2 linked regions of the Saccharomyces cerevisiae S288C genome follow. The main gene of each other region encodes a partner of the protein of the gene in region 2 in a complex. Each region holds a gene or a part of one and is shown on either strand. Other genes may lie near its edges. A codon is read from its position in the direction of its gene.

Region 1 (4,013 bases), on a different chromosome or scaffold from region 2:
AGGTGCTACTCTTTAAATCGGTATCCGAAGCATGCCTTTTATTGTCATAGAATGTTGGAAGATGTTGGGTGGAGATGGAGTCAGTTAATTCCTGTAAGGAAGGTAACTTTATCTTATTGGAAAACGGTGAAGAGCTCTCCTTTTCAGACTCTTGCTGCTTCAACTGTTGCTGCTCTTGTTGTCTGTCAGTAAGTAAAGAAGCCAGACGGTTTTCGATGGTTGTGATATGATTTTGTAAAGAATGGAAATTCTGAGTAGCAATACTCTGCCTGAAATGGGTAGAATTTGATAAAGATTTCAGTTTAGCTAATTCATCCATAGTAGATTGAATGTTTAGATCATTTGCTGTAGTGGTAAGTTCGTTGTTTTCAAAATGTTTAGAAAATGAAACTACCCTGTTAATTTCATGACAGGAACGTTCATCAATATTGTCCAGCACTTCATTCTGATTCGAGTTTACGGGTTTATCGTTATTAATGTTATCAGTACCAATGCCATTATTGGTTTTATTGTAAACTGGTACTTGTTGGAAATGAATATCAGTAGCAACAGGAGCATGCATTTGAGGGTGAATATTATTTAGCTGAAAGTGAGAAATATTGGGCGGCATGTGGGGATCCGGTATGATGCTGACCAGCCGCTGAGGAGCAGAAGGAATTTGGTGTGTATTTCTATAATGTGAGTTGTTGGATATTTGAATATTAACGGCGGGAAGAACAGAATTAATGTTGTTATTTTTTATAGTGTTGTTACTATGGTTGTTGTTATCATTATTGTTGGGATGATGATAGTAGTATGCGTAGTTGTTGTTTGCGCTGTTTATATGGGCATTCGGTCCATTATAATGCTGCAAGGGTAATGGAGAATTTATAGTTACAGTAGAATGCAAAGGATCTACTCTCGGAGCAGAATGGTCAAAAACAAGTTGTGGAGGACCGTATGTGAACCCGGGCAGTGCTTGTGGCTGTGTTTGAGAGAAGGGGTAGATATTGGGGGCTTGCATCTCGATGAAATTTTTTGAGACAAGTCGTAAAAGCCCTTTATTAAAGTGAAAACAAACAATTCACTATGAACGAAAACAATATTAGAGCAAAGGAAATCACTAAAAGTAGATGGAGAAAATAAAAAAACGCCGTGAACGGAAATAGAAGAAATATGAGGGGACGCAAGGAAGTAAAAGGACCAGGAAAGAAAAAATCCTCCTTCAATATATACCAAGATATACAAGAAACTGAAACTCAAAAAATAACTTTTATACAAGATTGCCGACACGAAGAAAGGAAACGATAGCCGAATGTCTTAATGCAATAACAACTGCATTAACAATTAAGCAAATTTAGGAAATTTGCTTATAACCTTATATTTCAAAATAACCGTTGAGTTTTAGCTTTTGCACAATTCCGCGCCGGGCCCCGCGCAGGGAAAATCGCAGCAGCCGGAAAAACCGCCATCCAGCACCTTCAGTTGGGGAAAGCAAAGCAACCGAACGAAACTATATCTGAGATAAGGGCGGTGCAAAAAGAATGTGAAACCACGCTTGAAAAATGAAGTCACGGTTACACTATCTCCAACTCTGCAGGGTACAGTGCTTCTGATCGTGCATCCTTTTGTGGTCTGGACCAGCGTCGACGCGGCGACAGAAGTAGCGATGTTTCGCAGTGATAGACGCGTAGCGGTACAGGCCTGCGGCGGCTGTTGTGCGGTGACGTGCCCATGACTCAACAAAAAAATAAAAATAAGCAAACGGAAAAACCATATTAGTTCCCCTTTCTGCTGCTCCTACTCCTGTGCGTTTTCTCTTGCGCTCCTTTTTTCCCTGTTTTATTTTTTTTGTGTTTTTCGCTCGGCTTGGGTTTGTGTGTACGGCCCTTTTTGGGATCCCGGAGTTTATTTGACTGTTGTCCGGATCCGTTCCGAGTGAATGGTAATCGCTCCATTGTGTTGCTGTTTATCACTATCAGTGTCGATCTCGCTTTCCTGACTCTGCCGGCGCGGTGCCCCGGTTCGTTGCAGGAGACATTTTGATGGTACATCATTTTTCTTGAAGCTAACATGTGTAATTTGGTCATTAAATTGCAAGCAAAGGGGCAGTAGAGACAAATATCAGCCGGATGAAGATATATTTGTGTGTGGTAACAAATAGAAATGACTATATCTACTCTTAGTAACGAGACCACGAAGAGCGGATCTTGCAGCGGCCAAGGCAAGAATGGTGGGAAAGACTTTACGTATGGAAAGAAGTGCTTCACGAAGGAAGAATGGAAGGAGCAGGTGGCCAAGTATTCTGCCATGGGCGAGCTATATGCAAATAAGACAATACATTATCCGCTGAAAATTCAGCCCAACAGCAGTGGCGGCTCGCAGGACGAGGGATTTGCTACCATACAGACCACACCCATAGAGCCCACACTGCCACGGCTTCTGTTGAACTACTTTGTTTCTATGGCATATGAAGACTCGAGCATTAGGATGGCCAAGGAGCTGGGATTTATACGGAACAACAAAGACATTGCGGTTTTCAATGATTTGTACAAGATCAAGGAGCGTTTCCATATCAAACATCTTATTAAGCTGGGGCGTATCAATGAGGCGATGGAGGAGATAAACTCTATCTTCGGGCTGGAGGTGCTGGAAGAGACTTTCAATGCTACGGGAAGTTATACGGGTAGAACTGACAGGCAGCAGCAGCAGCAGCAGCAGCAGTTTGACATAGATGGAGATTTACACTTCAAACTGCTGTTACTGAATTTGATCGAGATGATAAGAAGTCACCATCAACAGGAGAACATCACCAAGGATTCCAACGACTTTATACTCAATCTAATTCAGTATTCTCAAAATAAACTTGCAATAAAGGCTTCGTCAAGTGTCAAAAAGATGCAAGAGTTAGAATTAGCAATGACTCTGCTGCTTTTCCCCTTGTCAGATTCGGCGGACAGCGGCAGCATTAAGCTGCCCAAATCGTTACAAAATCTGTACTCGATATCTCTAAGATCTAAGATAGCAGATCTGGTTAATGAGAAGCTGCTGAAGTTTATTCATCCAAGGATTCAATTTGAGATCAGCAATAATAATTCCAAATTTCCAGATTTGTTAAATTCCGACAAGAAAATAATTACGCAGAACTTCACGGTGTATAACAACAATCTCGTCAATGGTTCAAATGGTACAAAAATAACTCACATTTCGTCTGACCAACCTATCAACGAAAAGATGTCAAGCAACGAGGTCACGGCTGCTGCTAATTCAGTTTGGCTAAATCAAAGGGATGGAAATGTTGGCACAGGTTCAGCGGCGACAACTTTTCATAACTTAGAAAATAAAAATTACTGGAATCAAACTTCTGAATTGCTTTCCTCTTCAAATGGAAAGGAAAAAGGTTTAGAATTCAATAATTACTACTCTTCCGAATTTCCCTATGAACCAAGATTGACGCAGATAATGAAACTGTGGTGTTGGTGCGAAAATCAGCTTCATCACAACCAAATAGGGGTTCCTAGGGTCGAAAACTGACATACATAGTACGTATATATTTATATATGTGTGTGTGCGTGTGCATGTGTGAGTGAGTGTGTGTGTGTGTGTGTGTGTGTGCCTACCTGCATGTATGCATTTAGCAATTGATTTTTCTTTTTTTTTTTTGGAAGCTTTCATAGTATGAATTCGCATTTTATCGTGTTTCCCGTATCAATCTTCAGGAAACATAATTGAACATCATCGATATTCAATGGCAGTAGTTCATCTTTATGATTGTAAATTTTGACACCGTTGGAAATCGTAAACTTTCTTGCCCCTTCACCGCCCTCATTCTTAATTATATCGCGATATATTTCGCAATCTTTAAAGTAGTGGTAAAGTCTCAGCCTCAATACACGCAAGGTAGTACCAAACTCAGGTCTTTTTTCATTTTCATAATCCTCTGGAGAAAATTCAACATGAAATTTTAATGGGGTGGACAGAAGTTCTTTCCCATCTACAATAACATTACATTCGACATCCAATTCTGATACAAA
Region 2 (4,585 bases):
ATCTCTTGGCTCTGGATCCGTTATCTGTTCTGTTACACAAGAAATCGTACATTTACAATATAGTGATAATCGTGGACTAGAGCAAGATTTCAAATAAGTAACAGCAGCAAAATGGCAAGACAAAAGATGTTTTATAACAAATTACTCGGCATGCTCAGCGTAGGATTCGGGTTTGCTTGGGCGCTCGAGAACATTACTATATACGAATTTGACTTTGGCAAGGGCATTCTCGATCAAAGCTACGGCGGTGTATTTTCAAACAACGGCCCTTCGCAAGTGCAGCTGCGGGATGCAGTCTTGATGAATGGGACAGTGGTATACGATTCAAACGGCGCTTGGGACAGTAGTGCGCTGGAGGAATGGCTCCAGGGACAGAAAAAAGTTTCCATCGAAAAAATATTTGAAAATATTGGGCCCAGCGCCGTGTATCCGTCTATTTCGCCTGGGGTCGTGATTGCGTCACCATCGCAAACGCATCCAGACTACTTCTACCAATGGATAAGGGACAGCGCGTTGACGATAAACAGTATTGTCTCTCATTCTGCGGGCCCGGCAATAGAGACGTTATTGCAGTACCTGAACGTTTCATTCCACTTGCAAAGAAGCAACAACACATTGGGCGCTGGCATTGGTTACACTAACGATACAGTGGCTTTGGGAGACCCTAAGTGGAACGTCGACAACACGGCTTTCACGGAAGATTGGGGTCGTCCTCAAAACGATGGGCCTGCTCTTCGAAGCATTGCCATCTTAAAAATCATCGACTACATCAAGCAATCTGGCACTGATCTGGGGGCCAAGTACCCATTCCAGTCCACCGCAGATATCTTTGATGATATTGTACGTTGGGACCTGAGGTTCATTATTGACCACTGGAATTCTTCCGGATTTGATCTATGGGAGGAAGTCAATGGCATGCATTTCTTTACTTTACTGGTACAACTGTCTGCAGTGGACAAGTCGCTGTCGTATTTTAACGCCTCAGAACGGTCGTCTCCCTTTGTTGAAGAATTGCGTCAGACACGCCGGGACATCTCCAAGTTTTTAGTGGACCCTGCGAATGGGTTTATCAACGGCAAGTACAATTATATTGTTGGGACACCCATGATTGCCGACACATTGAGATCCGGACTGGACATATCCACTTTATTAGCTGCGAACACCGTCCACGATGCGCCATCTGCTTCCCATCTTCCGTTCGATATCAATGACCCTGCCGTCCTGAACACGTTGCACCATTTGATGTTGCACATGCGTTCGATATACCCCATCAACGATAGCTCCAAAAATGCAACGGGTATTGCCCTGGGCCGGTATCCTGAGGACGTATATGATGGATATGGCTTTGGCGAGGGAAATCCCTGGGTCCTGGCCACGTGTACCGCTTCAACAACGCTTTATCAGCTCATTTACAGACACATCTCTGAGCAGCATGACTTGGTTGTCCCAATGAACAACGATTGTTCGAACGCATTTTGGAGCGAGCTGGTATTCTCCAACCTCACGACTTTGGGAAATGACGAAGGCTATTTGATTTTGGAGTTCAATACACCTGCCTTCAATCAAACCATACAAAAAATCTTCCAACTAGCTGATTCATTCTTGGTCAAGCTGAAAGCTCACGTGGGAACAGACGGGGAACTAAGTGAACAATTTAACAAATACACAGGGTTTATGCAGGGTGCCCAACACCTTACCTGGTCCTATACTTCATTCTGGGATGCCTATCAAATAAGACAAGAAGTTTTACAGAGTTTGTAGACAAAAAAAAAAATAAAAGGAAAGCGAGAAGTATACACAAGTGTATTTCCTAGATATTTACATCAAATATATATATATACTTATTTACAAAACTCTGATATTATAAATTGATTAGATACTATGTCGGAACGTCCAGCCCAACCACGTTTGCAGTTCTTTTCACTTTCTCATCCTGTGTCAACTTGTTGCCAGGATTGTATCTGTCGACCAGCTCCTCGTATTCTCTTTGGTTGTCCAAGAACTTGATGATGTCCAAAGCGTGTTCGAATATCTCGTCAACGTTTTGTCCCTGGGCCACCTTTTTCTCCCACTTTATATCGTTTTGTAATATGGAACGTAATGACTTAGAGTCGGCTATAAACAAATTCAAAGATCTGTCGCTTACCGGATCTAGTTTTTTCCATTTCTCTAACTGTCTGTTGATGTTCTCATGCGAGTCTCTCTGATTTTGTTTCTTAGCATATTCCAACTTTGTTATCATTGCCTTTCGTAGATTGCCCCAATTGACTATCTTGCTTGGCCTTTCATATTTCAGAATGGCTCTTATGAGTCCTCTATATGTGCGTAATGTTCTTGGTCTATCCATTTCCCTGGCACTCTCTCTTTCTCTCTCTTTTCAGCTTTTTGTTATCCACTTATCGCTGCAAATGAAACTCTAGTGCAATTTGAGATATTCACTTTTTGCAAAGGCGAAGAGAAGGGGGTGGTTAAATCTACAATTTCATACATAAAACAGAGAAAATGATTATAAATTATAGGAAAGTAGGTAAGCCATGGCAGAGAAATCAATATTTAATGAGCCTGATGTGGATTTCCATTTGAAATTAAATCAACAATTATTTCATATTCCTTATGAACTACTGTCCAAACGTATCAAGCATACTCAAGCGGTAATTAATAAGGAAACCAAATCACTACATGAACACACGGCCGCATTAAATCAAATATTTGAACATAATGACGTTGAGCACGACGAGTTGGCACTAGCAAAAATAACTGAAATGATTAGGAAAGTTGACCATATAGAAAGATTTTTAAATACGCAAATCAAGTCCTACTGTCAGATTTTGAACAGAATTAAAAAAAGGCTGGAGTTTTTCCACGAACTGAAGGACATCAAGTCACAAAATTCAGGAACATCGCACAATGGAAATAATGAGGGTACCAGGACTAAATTGATACAGTGGTATCAGAGTTATACAAACATTTTAATTGGTGATTATCTGACGAGGAATAACCCGATTAAATACAACTCGGAGACAAAGGATCATTGGAACTCTGGCGTAGTGTTTTTGAAACAGAGCCAACTGGATGATCTCATTGATTATGATGTCCTCTTGGAGGCTAATAGAATTTCGACTTCGTTACTACATGAGCGTAATCTCTTACCCCTAATTTCATGGATAAACGAGAACAAAAAGACACTGACCAAAAAGTCCTCTATATTAGAGTTTCAAGCAAGATTGCAAGAATATATTGAACTACTAAAGGTGGATAACTATACCGACGCTATAGTATGTTTTCAAAGATTCCTTTTACCATTCGTTAAGAGCAACTTCACCGATTTAAAATTAGCATCTGGACTTCTGATTTTTATCAAATACTGTAATGATCAAAAGCCAACTTCTTCTACCAGCTCTGGATTCGATACTGAAGAGATTAAGTCTCAAAGTTTACCAATGAAGAAAGATCGAATATTTCAACATTTTTTTCACAAATCTTTACCTAGAATTACCTCCAAACCTGCGGTGAATACAACAGACTATGACAAGAGTTCCTTAATAAATTTACAAAGTGGAGATTTCGAAAGATATCTGAATTTATTAGATGATCAAAGATGGTCGGTATTAAATGATTTATTCTTGAGCGACTTTTATTCCATGTATGGCATATCACAAAATGACCCTTTATTGATATACCTGTCACTAGGTATATCGTCTTTGAAGACAAGAGATTGCCTGCACCCTTCTGACGATGAAAATGGAAATCAAGAGACGGAAACTGCCACAACAGCAGAGAAAGAAGTTGAAGATTTACAACTCTTTACGCTACATTCACTAAAAAGGAAAAATTGTCCCGTTTGCAGTGAGACTTTCAAACCAATAACACAGGCATTACCATTTGCTCATCACATTCAGTCTCAATTATTTGAAAATCCAATACTATTACCAAATGGAAATGTTTACGACAGTAAAAAATTGAAGAAATTGGCCAAAACATTGAAAAAGCAAAACTTAATTTCTTTAAATCCAGGTCAAATTATGGATCCAGTTGACATGAAAATATTTTGCGAATCAGATTCTATCAAAATGTACCCAACCTGAAATAGTTTCAAGCTATATGCATTTTTTTATATAAAGATTTGTCCAACTTTCACAACTATTTTACAGATACTTACGCTATATAAGAATTAGGGAAAATGAAAGTTCTTTCATCAACATGGCGACATTCTTCCTTCTGTACTTAGTCTGAATCAGAATCTGTGTCTTTTTTGCTTTTACGGTTATGTTTTGAACTATTCGAGACATATTTACTAAAGATGTAGAACCTAGCATCACGTTCTTTCGCAGGTTTTGTAGTATCTTGTTCGCTATTCGTTCTCCGGTGATGATATCCTGGAAAATTTTCCCATTGGAATTTGCTCGATCTGCTCAGAGTTAGTCCATTTTTTTTGGCTAAAAGTTTGATTTGCCATGAATCATAGGGCTCTCCATCGAAAAGGGACAGTATGATGTTACCATAACCTTCGGCGGTCAATTTTTTAGCCTGGGGAGTATCCTCATTAAGATCATAGCCTTGCGTATAACGAAGAGTATCATTTTGA

Evidence for each region. The genes of interacting proteins can lie anywhere in the genome.
Region 1: the proteins of FYV10 (region 2) and GID8 are in contact, whole or in part, in a cryo-EM structure (PDB 7NS3), measured with the Saccharomyces cerevisiae proteins. Residues at the interface, in NP_012169.1 of Saccharomyces cerevisiae: Tyr243 (codon at 3,261), Ile247 (codon at 3,273), Phe250 (codon at 3,282), Gln251 (codon at 3,285), Phe262 (codon at 3,318), Leu265 (codon at 3,327), Lys266 (codon at 3,330), Ser269 (codon at 3,339), Gly270 (codon at 3,342), Leu272 (codon at 3,348), Ile273 (codon at 3,351), Phe274 (codon at 3,354), Lys276 (codon at 3,360), Tyr277 (codon at 3,363), Gln310 (codon at 3,462), His314 (codon at 3,474), Lys315 (codon at 3,477), Ser316 (codon at 3,480), Leu317 (codon at 3,483), Pro318 (codon at 3,486), Phe344 (codon at 3,564), Arg346 (codon at 3,570), Tyr347 (codon at 3,573); in NP_013854.1 of Saccharomyces cerevisiae: Asn220 (codon at 2,803), Leu224 (codon at 2,815), Ile227 (codon at 2,824), Ser230 (codon at 2,833), Gln231 (codon at 2,836), Ala235 (codon at 2,848), Ala238 (codon at 2,857), Ser239 (codon at 2,860), Met245 (codon at 2,878), Gln246 (codon at 2,881), Leu248 (codon at 2,887), Glu249 (codon at 2,890), Leu250 (codon at 2,893), Met252 (codon at 2,899), Thr253 (codon at 2,902), Leu256 (codon at 2,911), Lys272 (codon at 2,959), Leu274 (codon at 2,965), Met357 (codon at 3,214), Ala366 (codon at 3,241), Asn367 (codon at 3,244), Ser368 (codon at 3,247), Val369 (codon at 3,250), Trp370 (codon at 3,253), Leu371 (codon at 3,256).

What each region holds. Positions count from the first base shown.
Region 1 is NC_001145.3:538,189-542,201, reverse strand, and holds GID8 (glucose-induced degradation complex subunit GID8), read left to right. Parts: upstream 1-2,145; coding exon 2,146-3,513; downstream 3,514-4,013. Other genes in the region: GAT2 (Gat2p), read right to left, coding at 1-1,003; ERG29 (Erg29p), read right to left, coding at 3,651-4,013. UniProt on the Saccharomyces cerevisiae protein: Component of the GID E3 ligase complex recruiting N termini and catalyzing ubiquitination of proteins targeted for degradation.
Region 2 is NC_001141.2:177,893-182,477, forward strand, and holds FYV10 (glucose-induced degradation complex subunit FYV10), read left to right. Parts: upstream 1-2,534; coding exon 2,535-4,085; downstream 4,086-4,585. Other genes in the region: SGA1 (glucan 1,4-alpha-glucosidase), read left to right, coding at 112-1,761; FMC1 (Fmc1p), read right to left, coding at 1,880-2,347; BMT5 (25S rRNA (uracil2634-N3)-methyltransferase), read right to left, coding at 4,225-4,585. UniProt on the Saccharomyces cerevisiae protein: Component of the GID E3 ligase complex recruiting N termini and catalyzing ubiquitination of proteins targeted for degradation.